Caenorhabditis elegans: one gene and its partners. The protein of the gene in region 3 interacts with the protein of the main gene of each other region in a pairwise test. Each region holds a gene or a part of one and is shown on either strand. Other genes may lie near its edges. The genes, in order: cla-1, try-14, cat-4 and C26C6.8.

The links.
Region 1: the proteins of cat-4 (region 3) and cla-1 interact in a two-hybrid assay, tested with the Caenorhabditis elegans proteins (one large-scale study listed by BioGRID).
Region 2: the proteins of cat-4 (region 3) and try-14 interact in a two-hybrid assay, tested with the Caenorhabditis elegans proteins (one large-scale study listed by BioGRID).
Region 4: the proteins of cat-4 (region 3) and C26C6.8 interact in a two-hybrid assay, tested with the Caenorhabditis elegans proteins (one large-scale study listed by BioGRID).

Annotation. Positions count from the first base shown.
Region 1 is NC_003282.8:7,608,662-7,613,699, reverse strand, and holds the start of cla-1 (Protein clarinet), read right to left. Parts: upstream 3,021-5,038; coding exon 2,938-3,020; intron 2,865-2,937; coding exon 2,803-2,864; intron 2,425-2,802; coding exon 2,356-2,424; intron 2,262-2,355; coding exon 1,948-2,261; intron 1,058-1,947; coding exon 1,013-1,057; intron 741-1,012; coding exon 691-740; intron 646-690; coding exon 598-645; intron 478-597; coding exon 61-477; intron 1-60. UniProt on the Caenorhabditis elegans protein: Required for synapse development in the active zone of presynaptic terminals of specific neurons including serotonergic NSM neurons.
Region 2 is NC_003284.9:7,493,177-7,497,532, forward strand, and holds try-14 (Peptidase S1 domain-containing protein), read right to left. Parts: upstream 2,416-4,356; 5' UTR 2,389-2,415; coding exon 2,290-2,388; intron 2,245-2,289; coding exon 2,138-2,244; intron 1,854-2,137; coding exon 1,727-1,853; intron 1,675-1,726; coding exon 1,530-1,674; intron 1,479-1,529; coding exon 1,363-1,478; intron 1,277-1,362; coding exon 1,184-1,276; intron 1,139-1,183; coding exon 1,085-1,138; intron 857-1,084; coding exon 758-856; 3' UTR 548-757; downstream 1-547. Other genes in the region: uggt-1 (UDP-Glucose Glycoprotein glucosylTransferase), read right to left, coding at 2,753-2,920, 2,998-3,742, 3,795-4,313.
Region 3 is NC_003283.11:10,563,144-10,566,965, reverse strand, and holds cat-4 (GTP cyclohydrolase 1), read right to left. Parts: upstream 2,087-3,822; 5' UTR 2,053-2,086; coding exon 1,890-2,052; intron 1,323-1,889; coding exon 1,227-1,322; intron 1,180-1,226; coding exon 982-1,179; intron 924-981; coding exon 709-923; 3' UTR 527-708; downstream 1-526. Other genes in the region: vps-54 (Vacuolar protein sorting-associated protein 54), read left to right, coding at 1-162, 209-311. UniProt on the Caenorhabditis elegans protein: Involved in serotonin and dopamine biosynthesis that affects movement, mating behavior, foraging behavior, and cell migration.
Region 4 is NC_003279.8:7,502,965-7,507,522, reverse strand, and holds C26C6.8 (SH3 domain-containing protein), read left to right. Parts: upstream 1-1,880; 5' UTR 1,881-1,942; coding exon 1,943-1,985; intron 1,986-2,058; coding exon 2,059-2,150; intron 2,151-2,204; coding exon 2,205-2,357; intron 2,358-2,725; coding exon 2,726-2,839; intron 2,840-2,887; coding exon 2,888-3,108; intron 3,109-3,757; coding exon 3,758-3,947; 3' UTR 3,948-4,000; downstream 4,001-4,558. Other genes in the region: C26C6.6 (LIM zinc-binding domain-containing protein), read right to left, coding at 877-1,055, 1,215-1,314, 1,375-1,440, 1,486-1,551; pbrm-1 (Bromo domain-containing protein), read right to left, coding at 4,290-4,409, 4,456-4,558.

The DNA of each region.
Region 1 (5,038 bases), on a different chromosome or scaffold from region 3:
GAAGCATTCATTGTGTTTCATAATCTTAAAATTTTGGTGTCTCATTGTCGGCTAACTAACCTTGGTGGCATTGGTGGTGGGCCTCTTGCAATGGGTTTTCGCACATTCTGCATATCAGCTTCTGCCATAACTGCCATAATTTTCATTCTTTCATCATCTGACAAATCATCGAGTCCAGGTGGTAATTCGGACATTATACTTGAACTCATAACACTGGGAGATCTTGTTGGAATTTGACTTGAAGGAGGAGGGAAACGTGCGCCCATCTCCATTTCTGCATTTGCCATAACTGACATGATCTTTTCTCTTTCTGCTTCCGAAAGATCCTCCATTCCTGCTGGAATATTTGATGAACCACTTGTGCTTGGTTTTACATTATTAACAGAATCGTCAAAGTCGGCTGCAGCCATAACTGACATGATTTGTCGACGTTCTTCTTCGGAAAGACCATCCATCGGAATACCGATTTGTGGAGAGCTGTAATTTCAAAATTAACCATTTAGGAAATGAAAATCAAAAGAAAAAAGAAGAGGGGAGGTAGAAAAGTGTACGTGCGGGGAGTAATCTGATATACTGGGAATGTTTTATGTTACTTACGGAATAGATTTGGTTGGAGCACTGGTGCCTAGGGAGGTTGAGGATTTGCTGAAATTGTTTTTTTTATAGTTGACTTGACAAAATATCAATTACCTGCTAGAGAAGACATTGTTGTTGACAATATTTGATGATGAAGAGGATGGCTGAAAAGTTTTTATTATTTTGAGGTTATTTAATTTATTTCAAAAAAATTAATTTACAGAAGTAATGTTTAAAAACATTAGCCGTTTTGTGAATTAGTTAATTGTTTGTTTATAATATTAATACCAAAAGCAGTTTCTCAAAAAAAAGTAATCAATCAAGTGAAAAACTCGTGAGCGTTTAGTCATGAGATCTAGATCAAAATCGTGTTACCATAATTGAATTGGGTCGGAAGCCCTACGGAAAGAGAATAAAAAGAAAAAAGTTCACTCACCTTGATGGGTACGGCGGCTTGGATTTGCGAACCCGCTTCCTTTGCCTGCAAAAAGAGCAATTATCGAAAGTGACAAGGAGAGAAGAGCACACGCATGTCTTCTCGCAAAAAATTAATGAGGCATGGGGGTCCCCCGAGCCGAATCCTAAAGTGTTTCTTTTTGTTGCACACCCTACATTTATGCATAAGCGACACATACAACAAAACATAAAAAAGTGGAAAATAGACCAAAACGATGGGTACATCTTTTGGAATGGTGTATGTGTGACCGCTAAAAAAAAAAAAGAAAAAAGGAAGAACAAATGATTGTATAGTGTTTGTTGGATGAGGGAACAACACATTTGCGTTATTTTGGAAAGACCGGAAAGTCGAATTCCGTGAGTAACGAGCCCATCGTAGCTGCTCTTGGAGAGTCAAAGACACTGCGAAATTGGTTTTGTATACTGACATTGAAATGGTTTTTTTTTTTTGAAAATGAATTCATGTAATATATAAATTTGTGTGTATAAAAAACTACTCATATTCTCAAAATGTTGCATGTAAAAGTTAGTTATTTTTAAGAAAAAATGCTGATTGAAGAGTTTCTTAGATGTTAACATAATTTCTATGTTTTTTTTCTAGAAAACAGTAAATTTGAATATAACAGAAAAAAACAAATTGTTGCAACATAATATGTTCTACATTATTGGAAAATCATTTCAAATATCCATACCAAATATCATAATAAAACCTGTCAAACAATTTTGGACAATTATTTATTTTCAGTCAAACAGCTCTAAAAAAAATAACAATTTCTATAGTGACTGAAAATATTTTGAATAGCTTCGCGCATTTACAGTTTCAAAAACGTAGTCTTTTGAGTTTTAGTTTTTTGTTCATGGTCTTTTTTCAAACGGTGAAGTCTGATAGGTCATAGTGAATATTCAATTACTTACCTTATTAATAGCATCATTTGCAATATTAGAAAGGAAGCCGAAATTGGGTCGCTTCAACATACGACTACCCGGCAGTGAATCGATGGGTGTCTGCTGCGCCCTCAACGACTCTTCTCTCTGCGTCTCAAATCCATCATCAAAAGCCTCACGACTACTACTCTTCGTCTTCTCCTCCTCTTCGTAGTTCTCCAGTTTTTGCTGCTCCACGGCGTCGTCACCATATTTTCTCTTTTCCCCTTCACCAATCGATCTTCCGGTGCCAAAGAAGGCAGAAGAAGTGGTGGGCTCATGGTGTTGGCTCTCTACGTCAATACCTGCAAATATATGTTTTTTTGCTTTGAGATTTGGTCTCTTCGTCTCGCTTTTTGATTTGTGCTATGAATTTTTCATTTTTGACAGAAAACTCACCTTCAAGGAAGTGAAGTTGATCCTCAACATACTCCAATGGGAACTCTTCAACGTCAGTTCGAATTTCATCTGAAATTTCAAAAATAAAAAAGTAAATAGAGAAGAAAAATGTAATATTTGTATTACATAGGTCTAATGAAATTATATTCAGTCATTTCTTTTATTTGGACGTTTTTCTGAGTCAAAAACAGAGTGGATAGTGGAAAATTTTGAAAGTTCAGATAAAAGTCTGCTGATTGCAATTAGAATTGTTTTTTGTAGAATTAAGAATTAATTAAACACTCTTGTAAAATATTTTTGATAACATTTTATCTAGCTTTTGCTTTCTTTGCTGTAGAAATTCTCTTGTCGAGTAGAATTTGTTTTAGCAAATTATACTAGGTAGGTGAGTAGGCCTCTGTGTACCTACACTGAAGCGCATAAAAGTTTTTTTTTTAAACCACTTACGCCCCACATCTTCTTCCTCATCGTGGATCGATTGTCGCATGAAACTGAGTTGCTCCTCATACCTGAACAAAATAGTAAAATTGAAACACTAATTTTCAAAAAGAAAAAAAAAGGTTTATTAAAAATTCAGCATACCACTTTCCGATATCCGACTCGGACTCTTGCCTAATCTCTGATATACTTCTAATGTCGTATTCACTACTCTTCCGTGACGCCATCGAATCTGCTGATGGCGTCGGAGACACAGTCTGAAAATCATAAAATCCTGTTGGATAGTAGTGTTTAGTAGTCAAAAAAGGGGAAAAGTTGAAAATCTGGGAGTTGTCACGCTATCTGCATAATATTTAATGACACCGTTGCATTGCCACGGCATGCATAGCAACATGGTGAATGTGAAAAAAAAGTATTTATGGCTGGGAAAATAGAAACAGCTCGCACACAAAAAACAACGTCTATTTCTCACCTTCTGAGCCATAATAGGACCCTGGGGCTCTTCAGTTGTGTCAAGTGCAGCAGGAGATGTAACTCGATCTGGAGAGAAGCCGCTCGTTAGCACTTGAGCATTGTTGTTATCGAAGGAGCCGCTGGCGCCTGAACTTGCATCTTCTTGTTCATCGAATATATCAGCACCTGATGTTGCATCTGATCCACTTTCTGTTATTGGTTCTTCTTCTTCATCTTGAACTGGTTCAGCAGTGAATGGAGTGTTATAATCCATATCAGCCATCTCAGCAATTCTTGCAATATGGTCAAGCTCTTCTTGAGTGAGATCTTGCTCAAAGTGTTTAGAAGGAGGAGGAGGAGGTGGAGTCAACGAAACCTTATGAGTAATCGATCTTTGGGTGGCAGGAAGTTGGACATCTTGTGCAGCCATTGCAGTAATCTTTGCTATATGATCAAGTTCCTCTTGAGTTAGTTCTGGTGGTTCGAATATTTTTACAGGAACATCATATTCTGCTGATGCCATTTCAGCTATGCGAGCAATATGATCAAGTTCTTCCTGAGTAAGTGATGTCTCGGATGGTTTTCCTGTTGGAGGTGGTAGAGTACTGATGTCCATAGATGCCATTCCTGTGATCTTAGCGATATGATCAAGTTCTTCTTGAGTAAGTTCAGATTCAACTGGAGCAGGATGTTCAGAAACAATTGAAGGATACATTCCAAAGTCTTCATTTGCCATTGCAGCTATTCGAGTAATGTGATCTATTTCTTCTTGGGAGAGCTCCGGTTCATTTTGTTTAACTTGAGGAGTTGGTAGAGTTTGTAGATCAGTGTTATCTTCAGTAGCCATAGCTGTTATTCTTGCAATGTGATCAATTTCTTCTTGCGATAGAGTTGGTTCTTCAACATGATAATTAATTGGCACTGGCATTGTCGCAACTCGTTGCTCTTGTTGGATAAAGGGAGATGGCGCATTTAAATCTTCGGAAGCCATCGCCTCGATCCTTGCAATATGTTCTTTTTCTTCTTCCGTTAGTTCTATTTCAATTTGCTGTGTTGGATGTGTTGAAACGTATGGTGTATTAAAATCTTCTTCAGCCATTGCAGCGATTCTGGAAATATGTTCACGCTCTTCTTCAGAAAGTTCAATTTCAGACGGCTGCGCAAACACTGGAGTAGCTGTCGAAGCTGGGAATCTATCAATTGCACCATCGTCCCTACTATAATTTTCATCATAAATTGGCGCGACAGCTCCTTTAACAGGATGTGTAAAGTCCTCGTCAGCCATTGCAGCTATTCGAGCAATGTGATCCATTTCTTCCATTGAAAGTTCAATATCTTTTTGGATAATTGAAGGAGGAGGAACAATGATTTTAGATTGTGAATCATCCGCTGCCATAGCCTCAATACGAGCGATATGATCTTTCTCTGCTTGTGACAATCCTTGATTCATATTAACTGCGGGTTGTTCAAAGTCTTCCGCTGCCATAGCATTAATTCTGGCAATGTGATCTATTTCATCTTGTGTGAGCTCTTGCTTAGATTCTTGCTGAGCACTTTCAGTAGCCTGTGCAATGTTATCTAGCTCTTCTTGGGTTAGACCACTAAGAGATTGCTTTGATTGATTTTGAACGTTCTTTATCACAGAATCTGTAGCATGCATGACCGACTGGGTAGCTTTTCCGAAGAAATTCTTTAGTCCAAATGTAGATTTTGGTTTAGACTGTTCATCGAGAATCTCTTCATCCATCTTCTCTGCCATTAATGACATTTGTCGAATATGTTCCTTCTCTTC
Region 2 (4,356 bases), on a different chromosome or scaffold from region 3:
AAGAAAAAGCTGAGGAAATGGGCGAAACCAATGGGAAATTCATTTTCTATGGCAACACAGAACGTGTATAGTTGTAGCATAGAGTTCAAAAGAGCAGACATCAAAACGCACGGCTTCAAAGAATTTTTGAACAGACAACTCATTAATTAGAATAAGCTAAACACTTATTTATTTTCTACGTTTACTTAGTTTTTTGGGTAAAATTTTGGTAATTGTGAAGTATACCAGGTTCAAAAACATTTTGCAATACATTTTCCGTTCATTTCTTTATAAAACAATTATTTAATTAAAAACTGAAATTGATTTGTATTTCCATGCTCAAAAAACACTGATCCCGAGGATAATATGAACACAAAGGGTCACGGACACATTTTCAAAATGGTTAACATTTTTGGGCTAGGTATGTACTACACAAGTACCGAAATATAAAACATTCGAAGTAATGAGAAGTTCGTTGTTTCAAAAAAATAGAATGTTTCTTTTTCATTTTTTCTGCAACAAACATCTGATTGATTTTCAAACACAATTATTACACTAAAAGATTCTTGAAAAAGACCGATGTTCATTTAGGTTTTTGCAACAATTTTAATTGAAACCAAAGGATAGAATGAAAGATGCAAACGTAAGAATAGAAGTACAGAGCAAACACAAAATGTGCACACGAAAATCAATACGTTATAAGGGACCAACAAGTGTTTATTGCATCATAAAAACATTTATTTCAAAGGGAATGAAGAATGAAAAAGTGGAATTTAAATTAGAAGCATTTGTCCTGTGCTTCAAAAACGCTAGCCTTGTCCACATTCTCAATAGCATGGACAAATGTATTGTCGCTAAAGACAACAAATTGCATGGTCTGGAAATTGATAATATTGGAAATCCACATAATGGAGAAGATTATTTACTTTGCCCCTTGCCCCCCGTTTCTTTTAATCTCATATTTCCTCCCGAAAGTCCAAAAGATGAGAAATCAATCACCGGCGTATTTTGTTGTCTGATAAGATTCTCAACACTACAAAATGCGGTTTTTTATAAAGAATTTCTATTACGTAATGTATTCAGAATAATTGCTCGTTGATTTTACCTGAACTTCTGAGCAGTTGACAACCACCATTGTGCTGTTGTCTTCCTTGTCCATCTATAAAAATCATAAGTTTAAAGACAAAATAAGCGATAAGCCTACCTCACGCCCGTAGAGACCAGAAACAATTCCTACTTGAACATATTTATTGTTTTCTACATCCAGAACACATTCCAGTGGTGCTCCTATATCATCCTGAATTTGAACAATTACTTTTTATAAAAACTAAGTAATGCAAAGTTTGAAAGTGTGTATTTCCAAAAAACAACAAAAACGCTTACCCAGCAAACACGACCTGTAGAGTTACTGTTAACTTCTGAGAACATGAGATTTTCTGTGTCAGCGTGAACATCAAGATCCAATACTTGGACTTTGTGTGAAGTAGCGAAGTCTTCCACTAAAAATATAATAACTTATTTAGTAGCTACATAGTTTTGTAGTTACGAACCATCTTCCGTAGTTTCAAATCCAATCACTCTACATTTGGAATCTTGAAGATCCCTTGGCACAATTGTACGGTAAGTAGCATCAGTCAAGCTTGGTTTGAAGTTGAGCCGTGCAACTCTTGGTGGGTGTGGCTCCTTATCGCAAAACTATAAAAATAATTTCTCTAATAAGAGTTGCAAATACTAGAGTCTTTTTTACATGATCTTCATTAACCGCATCGATTTTCATCAGAGCCAAGTCGCCGTCAATTTTCACAGCAAGCATTGCTTTGTTCATGGTAGCAGAGGAATCCTTCTTTTTGATAATAGCTTGTGCAATAAGGTTCCTAAATAAATATTAAATTGCCTTCAAATAAAAATCCATTTCAGCGTTTCTTCTAAACCAACAGTTGCTATACATATATTTCTATAAACTATCTCTGGCATAGTTTCGTCTAAGTTTTCAATCGAAAATTGTCAGCACATTCCGCACAACAAGCCAATTCACGAATCTTTTGCGTAGTCGAATTCAGAGCAGAAAAAGTGTAAAATGTAAGAGACTATAATGCGCTATGTTCGTTCGTAAGCTTCTTATTTTGCTACGGGAATATTTAAAAATTTGAAACCATACTTTCTGGTGTCTGGGAAACATTTCGAGCTGGTTAGCACAACGGATGGAGACAAAAGAGTTCCCGTGCAAGTTGAGATATTCTTCAGTTTGGTATCCTTAGTGAGTACCTGAACATAAAACATAAAATTCGAAGCGAGTTGAGCAAGTCTTACCTTCACCAAGTACTGATGGCGTTCCCATTTTGCCGGGTCCGCAATGTACATTGAAAACACGAATGCAAGTAGAGAGGAAACGATGACCGCTCGAAACATCTTCTTTCGATCAAATGATTCGAATGAGGATTTGACCCGACGAGCATCGCATTGATATTGTTGTAATATCCGCTTTCAGAAAAATCAAGCAAATGCATTCTTTAATACACCCACACATCAAGAAAAAGAAAATATTTATTGGATAGAGAGAGGCAAAAAAATGTTTCAAAGATTCATCACAAGTTTGACAATATTTGAAAATGAAATTTTGAAAGCTCTCATAGTCAAAAGCTAAAAAATAAATAGCAGAAAAAGCGAATCGACTGATTTGGAAAAAAATATACCCAGAGTTTTGAATATCATAATGGTGATTGGAAACATTTTCAATAAATAACGGGTAAACTTGGCATATGAAAAGATTAATTTAAAGTTCCGTGTGAGAGTCATCATTTTCAGAAATGACATTATCCGAAGGGTTATCAGAAGAATGTCCAGAAATGACTTCCCGGATTTCGTCATCATACGTTTTCCATTCTCCAATAATTCTGGCGGCTGAGTCGAGCTTTGGCTCTTTTGTGAGCGGGTTGTTGCACTGAAAATTGTTAATTGTTCACGGAAATTTAAAACAGATCAATGGCACAGCATTTCAGTTGTGTTCAATCAACTTACCAAGTCAATAGTCTTTGCATTCTTCTTGCTTCCATCATCGCACCAAGTCTCACACCAAAGCCACTCTTGTGGAAGCGATTTGATCTTAACCTGATGGATCATGTTATTTGGCAAGTCTTGATCCAAGTTAGCCAGACTGTTTGGATCGCCAGATAGTCCTTGATATTGTCCACGAAGACGATCTCCGGCAGCGATTTGACGGAACTTTTGAAGATCAATAACGTAGAGAGCACTAATGTGATATCTTCTCCCAGCGAGATGGTTCGCCCAATATCCTTGCTTCCAGAATCGGAATCCGTCCATCTCCTTTCTACTTTCACAGAATGGCACATATCCGTATGGCGCATTTCCAAGATCAAACTTCATCAGCTCCATCAAATCAGCACGCACCACCTGGTCAGCGTCCACAAAGATCACCTTTTGAACATCAAGTGGGAAGAGTACATCAAGGAAAAGAATCTTGAATCCCCACATAATACGTTGTTTCTCCTTCTGCTGGTGAAGCCACCTTGGCCACTTGTACTCGATCAGTTCATACTCGAAACCATAGTGCTTGGCAAGAGTTGGAAGTGTCTCTTTGAATTGTGGCGACAGGTAGTTCTTGAGAAGCCAGAATTTAACTGGATGCTTCGTGTTCTTCATGACCGAGACAATCATGATTCTCATGAACCGTTCGTACAAGTGACCGGATGCGAGAGAAAATACATTGATCACTTCCTGGGTTTTTTCTTTGCTGCTCACCAAGCTGAAAATAACATTATGAGATTATTTCAAAAGAGTTTAAACAAAATGCTTACTTGCTAAGACTGCTCCAAACACCTTCTTCATCGTCGGAAAGAAGATTTCTCTCCTCCATGCCTTCACGTTTTTCAACACGAACTCTTACTGATTTACCAGTGAATGAGTCAATAACAACTTGAAGCACATCCTCCCCAATCTTCTCCGCTCCAACATGCGATCCAATCTTGTAAATCTCACTAGATTTTCCATCACGGATCTCTAGTTTCCAAGCACCAGGATTTGCTTTAAGTTGGAAATATCCTAAATTAGCCATAACGATTGTATCAAATTGTTTAGGGTTCTTGTCCGTTCCCAAAGTGAACTGCAGACCGCGTGGTGGTTGACCACTAACTTCGTCGAAACACTGTCCATCGAGAAGTAAGTGTTGGAGTGCAAACTCGGCAGTGACATCTCCGTTGGCTTGTTCCATCTTGATGTTATCCAAATCATACTTGGCAGAAACGGCTTCCACTATCCATGAGTCGGGAGCTTGCAGCGAAAGTGTCAGAAGTTGCTTACTGGGAAGATTATCGAACCTGAAATTGTGAAATTGAAATTGGTTTTATTAAATAGAAAGTA
Region 3 (3,822 bases):
AATTTGTCGCCATATGCTGAAATTCCACAATGGACTGGTTGGCATCATGCCAAGAGATCAGATCGAGGCGTTGTTCCGTCAAGTACACGAAAACTTTAAAGCCAACTTACGAGAACACGTCACTGGAATGGGTATCACACCTCATGACCCTTTAAAATACGGGTAAGAATAAATTACTGAAATTTCAACTATAATGTACTATTTTCAGATATGTCACAAAAGATTACATGTTTTATCAACAAAATGTGAAAAACATGGAAAGTTGCCGTAATTTGGAGCTCGAGTCGCTTAATGACATTATGTTTGAATAGGACTTTTCTTTGTAAAATATTTATTTAATTTTCAATCTGGTTTATTTCTTGTGTATGATTGTGATTGTTTGACTAATTACGGTGGCTTTTATTTCACGCTTCTTCTGTAAACTTCCCCAATTCACTGGTCCTTCATTCCTAATTTTTTAGTTTGTGCTTCTGGGCTAGCTTTATCACTTTCATTTCCCAGTTAATTGTTTTTGTTTTTATTTATCTGGTATTTAGTAATTTATTGCATGTACAATAAAAGCATATTACAGTATCCAGGCAATGAACATGTTGTATGAATTTAAAAAGCTGAAGCATAAGATGTTAGTAGATTCACATGGAAAGTTATGAAAAGTTAGTAACAGTTAAAACCCAAAAAAACAAGTAAAAAAGGAAATGACTAGAATTTTTAGCGTTTGTTGATAAGATTAAGGAATTCTTCGCGAGTCTTTGGATCGTCACGGAATACTCCCAACATGCAGGATGTTGTGGTGGAAGCATTGATCTTTTGAACTCCTCTCATTACCATACACATGTGACTAGCTTCAATAACAACTGCAACTCCGGATGGTTGTACAGCTTGAACCATTGCGGTGGCAATTTGCTTTGTAAGACGTTCTTGGACTGAAATATTTGAACGTTTAGGTTAGGTTCCAATCAAAAATGTAATTTCTCAATTTACCTTGAAGTCTTCTGCTGAACATCTCGACTATTCTTGCCAACTTGGACAGACCAAGAACCTTCTTGTTTGGAATGTATCCAATATGAACTTTTCCCATAAATGGAACTAAATGATGCTCACAAAGGGAGAACATTTCAATATCTTTCACAATAACCATCTCATCGTGATCCTCGTCGAATACTGCCTCGTTGAGGAGCTCTGAAAAATGAAACTTTGAGCTTTAACGTTGTATTGCTATAACTGACCATCAAGTTGATCATCGTATCCCTTTGTGAATGCCATCATTGCTTTGGCAGCACGTTCTGGAGTTTTCAGAAGTCCCTGACGATTGATGTCTTCTCCTGAATTCCCAAAATCAGTCAACGTGGGAAAATGTATTTTGTTTTCATTTTTTCCCTTATAATCAACGGACACAACCTATTTTTTTCTGATTTATGTTATAGATATATCAATTGAAATCACAAGTTCCTGATGATGTGCTAGGGTACCTTGATTGCGTGATGTAATAGATTACAATTTGTCATGAGTCTTTAAATTAAAACAATTTTCGATCTTGATTTTTGATTTGAGAGTGGAATATATTGAACTGAACTTCCTTCCAGACAATAACAACTATCAGTTATAGATCATCGACTTTCAAAACATCTTGGTCAAATTTATATTTGGGAAAATATTTATCAATATTCTTTGAGTCACTGATAATGAATAAATGCTAAAACATTATAATCTCTAGAATGAATCAAAAAGTGTGTTGAAATGTTTATCGAAACCAAAGTTTTCCTAATTCTGCTGACGTAAACAGTTGACAGTACGTTTTCAGAACTCTATAATCTATTCTTAAACAGCTTATTTTAAATTTGTTGTTGATCGACTAATACTTTCCGAACCAAAGAATCACATGAACTCACCGACATGTTGAATGATGCTCTGATAGGCATTGCACATTGATTTCAAATGATCTTCCTTTGGAATCGTTCCGTTTCTTTTCTTCATCTCAACTTTATCGTCTTCGGATCCAACACTTGCGGCGTCAGATGACAAAAATCCGCTTTCGTTCTCAATTCTGGACATTTTGATATTATGATGTTGATAGAGTGGGTAAAGCCTGAAAACATTGATTGAGTAAGTGAGTGAAATAAGGTGATATTGAAAATGAGCCGTGGGTAAATCTTAAGAAAGCTGAGAAAGCGTAGGCGACAAAAAGAAAGGATAGACATTCAAATAATTGCCGGATGAAACCGAATATGTGCAATGTCCAAGCAAGAAAGAAGAAATTACGAAAAAAAAAGGTACAACACGTCATGTATTATGAAAGGTATTCTGGGAAAAAATAGGCAAAATGAAGGGACAGAAGGAAATCAATCTAGTCGAATGGATAGACTTCATCATCTTTTCCCACTTATGTGAAAAAATGAGAAAAAAAGAATAAGAAAATAGCAAAAAATCGAAAAAGAAACGGAAGACGTCGTCCCATACATCAATCGTTTTCCGCCATTCCTTCATGGCAGCACTTCTAGGTATTCAGGAAAATGTGGAGGAAGAATAATTTATTTATGCAAACAAAAGGAACATGTAAAAAGAAAATGAAACCGATTGATTAGGTGGATAGGCGCAACAAGAAAAGAAAAAGTGGACTGGTCTGAGGAGATACAGAGAGAAGGATCGTAAATCAGCGAGGAATGATATAGACCTTCACTCACGTGGACTTCTAGTTCACTATCAGTTTTGTTGCCGAAACTTTGGCAGATTAATATCTACAAGTTACTCTTTCATGCACTACAATCGAAAAAATTGAGAAACTTTATATTCAAAACGAAATTTGGAATTTATCAAACTTCACATATATTTCTCACGAAATTCATCAAATGGTCCTCCTGGGAAGTTATTTAAAAACAATAATAGGATCACATGTGGTAGAATATACTCCTCCTATTTTTAAAACTCATCACACCTAATAATATTACTCATCGAAACAACCAATCTGAAAAATAAACTAGATTCTGGCAAAAAAATTACTAATGAGTTTAGTACAACACAGAAACCGTGTTAAACTCTCATATATACTGCCAACAGCCACAAAAATAAAATACAATTTCTAATATTTCACCATGTCAAAAAAGTAGGACCTCAAATTTGGGAACGATTTCATTCAACAGTTTCGGTTTTCAAAAATTGTAAAATTTTAACTACTTTCCTTTCTAAGTCATCATCAGGTGGAAAAATGAGAAAGTAAAGAAAGAAAATGAAAAGAATTGAGGGGTCTAAAGAAGTACACTCACTTTCTTCTATTCTTCTACTTAACTACCTACATAAGAATTTCGTTGAAACAGTTAAAGCTAGTAGAAAGATCAAACCCACGCCTTTTTTTTCCCGGCAGACTCGATGTGTTTTGATGACATTCACACGAAATGACGAGAACGGTTCCAAAATCAGCTGAAGATGAGGGAAGAGGCGTTTCGAACTTGTAAATGTTTTCCTAGTTTTCTAGTTCTTTTTCATCAGATATCGTTTCTTATATTTGCGATTTCTGGGCTGATTGGGTACAAGTTGGGAGGAGGTGATGACGAATGAAAACAAGAAAACTTGAAATACTATTTTGTTATGATCAGGATTTTTTGGGTTATTCGAAGTCTCTCATAACTTTTGGTTCTTCAGAGTTAGAGATTGAGAATCAAAAAGAACTATTTGAAAAAACTGAGCTATTGTCAATATTCTTGAAAAGTAAAAAATTAAAATCGAAAGTTGTTACTGAAAAGTACTGCCAAATAATACCGTAACACTCGTAGAGGAAGTTCCCCGCAATTTATTAGGTTGAACTATAAATAAGATAAGAGCATAAGC
Region 4 (4,558 bases), on a different chromosome or scaffold from region 3:
ATTTCAATGTTGTGTAGTTTAACATTTCCTCACTCAACAGTGTTCAATATTTAAAAAAAATTTTGCAAGGAAAATTGGAAATATGCCAAAACTTCATCTGAAACAAAAGTTAAATGTTTAGTTTCTCTGTAAAAACGTAAAAATGACAAATATTGAAATAGTGAATTGAGACTTGAGAAGACTTTTAGATTTCAAAAAGATTTCAAGACTATTACACAAAAAAAAATCAGACAGAAACAAAAAACAAAAAAAAATTATTAAAAGATTGACACTGACATGTTTAAAAAGTCACAAAACATTTTCGAGTACGTAGTTACTCGAAAAAGAAAACTAAGATCTATATGACGTCATTTTGATCTGACACAGGTGACACATCTCATCCATCCCGTAGCTCTTCTCCCACAGAAACATTTTGTGGTGTGAAGTTACTAGATGCACACTTTACTACTTGAATGGAGGAGGTTAAATGATGAAAGAACAGAAGGATGCTCATTATGATTGTGATGTTTCAAATATTATAATTATTGTTTCACTTTTGCAAGTTCTATAAATTGATTGAAAAATTGACAAAACTCTGGATTCAGAAATTGCATTTTTCAAAATGTGTAAAATTTCAAAAATCGTGTTATAAATTTTAAAAAAGTCCAATGTTTCTGATAAAAAAATGTTTTAATTAGATGAAACACTGAAATTGTTCAGTTTTTGTCAGTGAACAAGAGAAATCACAGAAAAATTGTTCCGAAAGGGACTACTTTACTCCCTATTTGTCTTGAAATCTCTCAAAAATCAGTATCTTAGAAATTATAGTTAACCCACAAAAATACACTTTAAACCGTTCAAAATCTATTCATTATTTTTTCAAATAAGTTCAATATGTTATAGAACATCTTTGATATGAAGCATATAACAAACGTCATCATAAAACATCATATCACGTTCATAAAATCCTTTTCTTTGAGGAATTGTCTTGTTACAGATTGCACAACGGAAACAATCAATATGAAAGAGACGATTAAATGCAACAAGTCCTCGTTCAATTACTGGCAATGAGCATCCTGTAAAATTTGTTTTTTAAGTAATCGTAAGGGGCTCTAATCTTTCCTATATGTAGCTGAGTAATCAAAGTTCGTATAACCCGTGCAAAACCGAATTCACAAGCCATATCATTCAATTTTTAATTTCTACTAATCAGTACTTCGAAGAACTAAAAATACCTGTGCAAGATGGATGATTTGTTTGAATATGACATGCATAACATGATGGTTTCATTGGATCAATTGATGAACGGAAATAACGATTGTCCGAGATTTGAAGCTAAAATTGGATATTTTGAAATTTTGGAAGTGCTTTTTTCCGAACGCTTCCAAAACTAACTTTACAAAAAATGCATTGAATATGATCCCGATGCCACATTCGATTCAGAAAGAAGACAACTTTGTTCTAAAAATTACTTTTTTAAAGGAAATACACCAATTGTGGATTTACCTTTTCGACATCCTCCTCGGCGATTTTGGCTTTACATCCTGCACAATTGATAAACTCAATAGTCATTTTTCTAGTTTATTTGGAAATAAATTATTTTTTATTAAAATTGTATTCTTCGCCTCCGAATTTGTATTTAGTAAGCGGTTGCCACGTAACTGGTATTAAAATTTATTGGTTTTTAATTGAAAACTTCCAAACAAGATACAAAAGTTTATGCATCTCTGCATGGTAATCTCCAAAATACATAAAATATCACAGATTCCTTATTTCTAGGGCAAAATAAGCCATTATACTGAAGCCAAATAATACTGTCCGCCTTTCATGCCTTTCCCTCCCGAGACTCCATCTTTTTTTCCAATCAGATCCAATTTTCGGTGAACAAACAATAATTTGACATGCCTCTGTTGATTAACCGTGTTTTGTGAGCAATTCATTGGCTTTTCGTCGCACAAAAACAATGGGCATTAGGAGCATTTTTTGGAAAGTTGTATCTGGAAGAGGTGAGCACAGTTTGTCCCATTTTTTTTCTAATTTTAGCTGATTAAAAATAAAACCTCCAAAAATGAATTTCAGTGCCCGATAATGGTGGATGGGTTGACAGTATGCAAGTGGATCATTTTGATCCTTATACTCCAGGACAACTAACAAAAAACTTCACAGCAACTGTATAGTTTTCAGTTTTTCCAAATTACCCCAATTTCTAACCTCTCACTTTTAAGGTTGCTGACGAAATTAGTGTAACCCGTGGCACTACAGTTAAAGCAATTTATCGAGATGATCAATGGATTTATGTTGAGGTATCTGATGGAAGAAAAGGATTTGTTCCACAGACATATTGTAAATTGCTTTTGAATTCAAAACACGGTGAAAAGGTGAGCGTTTTAGATGTTCTAGAAAAGTTATTTTTAGTGCAAATCTTAAAGAATGCAACAACACGTGTAATTGTGGCATTTAATGATATTCATTTAAAACTACTGTATCCGGTCTCGACACGACCGAAATATGCGCAAAAGAATGTGCGCCTTGCGAATTACTGTAACCACACTCCTAATTATTTCCAATATTTCATAGATATTTCATAGTTTTGTCATTGAAAAATCGAAGAAAAGTGGTGAAAATCATTGTCACCTTTAGTGAGAACAACTTAGAAGCCACGTGATGTCAGAGAGTCCCATTTCGGTTTGATCTCCAAGAATTTCGGGAATGGAACCGTTGAGAAATCAAATCAAATACTTTTCAGAAAAAGGTGATCGGATCCAGCGCGACACTTGATCGCCGTTGGGAAAAATCAAATTTGCAGAGATTTATCGACAGTCTTCCTGTTCAAAAAGAAGAAGGAGAGGTTTTTAAAATGGTTTGTTTTGAATAAAGCTATTGAATATTCTTTTGATACTATCTGCAGGATGAGATATGCGAAGTTCAAATACTACAGTCATTTGATGGATCAGCTCCAGATGATATATCTGTGAAAGATGGAGAATCTGTCACAGTTTTGAATATATCAGATCCTGAGTGGACCTATATTCGAAATTCGGACAATCAATCTGGTTTTGTACCTTCTTCCCATGTTAAGATTCCACATGAAATATTGCAACAAGCTAGCCGTGTCATTAAAGAAAAATGGTATCGTAAGTTCGCAGTTTTCTGAAACGCTTAAAGGTGTACGGACTTATTCAGATGGGTCATGGGTGTTATTCTGTTTTTTTTTTCAGAATTAAAAGACTCAGAAGACGCGAAAATTTGTTATTTTTGCGCCAAAAATACAGTACCCGGTCTCGACACGATAACAATTTTGTTAAGTGTGAAAACGTGTGCGCCTTTAAAGACTACTGTAATGTAAATACAACTTTTCGTGCTCATAGTTTTTCTCACGATTAGTAAAATAAAATATATGTGTTTTGTGGTTTTTTAAAATAAATAAATACATTTTTTAACGGAGAATTATGAAAAATCTATGCAAATTCCTCAACAACGAAAGTTTGAAGCTACAGTACCCTTTAAAGGCGCACATCCGTTTACATTTGATAAAAAATATTGTCGTGTCGAGATTGAGTACCATATTTTTGGCGCAAAAATTGCAAAGTTTCGCGTATGGGTAATAAAAAATCAAAAGAATCGACTTTAAAATTGTTCACGAAATTCCCGAAAAAAGCAAAAGGGCCGTTGCAAGATAAAAAACTACTGCCATAAATGTTTTTCTCGTGCTTGCGTTTCAAAAGATTGCGAAATAAACTGATTATATTTTGGCTTGGCAAATTTATTTAATTTTTAGGGAAAATGAAAATCTTCTCGTAGTCGAACCTTTTTCTGGAAGATCACCTCTTGATCTAACAGTCCGACCAGGTGAATGGATAAAATGCACTGGAAGACCAGTAGATGATTGGTTGTGGGCCGTCCGAATCGCTGACGAGAAGCAGGGATTTATCCCGAATAAAGTTGTAATTTTGGCGACAGATCTTTGATGTTTGATTTATCGTTTGAATTTGTTTCATACCCGACCCATTAATAAAAATATTTTAAAAAAAGGTGAATTGGAAATGATAATAAATTTAGTGACTGAAGTGGGTAGTAAGAAATACAATCAAGAAACGAATAAATTATTGAAAATAAATAGGATTTAAGGTATTCGTGGGAATCATGAGAGGATAAAAACAGAAGGAGCACACATAACTGGTTATCAGAAAATACATTAAAAGAAAAAGAGATTCTTGTTTTCTGGATTGAACGGGGAGGCGAGATAGGGTAGGATAATTATGATAAAGTTATAAAAATTGCATAAAATTTTAACAAGAGATCCACTGATTTCATTGAGTTGGTCGGTCCATTACAAGACTACACGTACTCTTCAACAATTCATCGCGAAGTTTCCACAAAGCTTTTGTAACATCCTCTTCGCGAGCTACAGGTCGTCCGTTTTCAATTCTCTGAAATTATGAAATATATTTTACAAGAAGAAATAGTCGAACTAACCCTTATCCAATGAGATGGAGCGCGGGCATTTCCAGCTGGTTGGGTATTCCTGGCAGTTGCTCCTAGAGTTCGTTCCCATCGGCTTACCGACTTCTGTCGATTC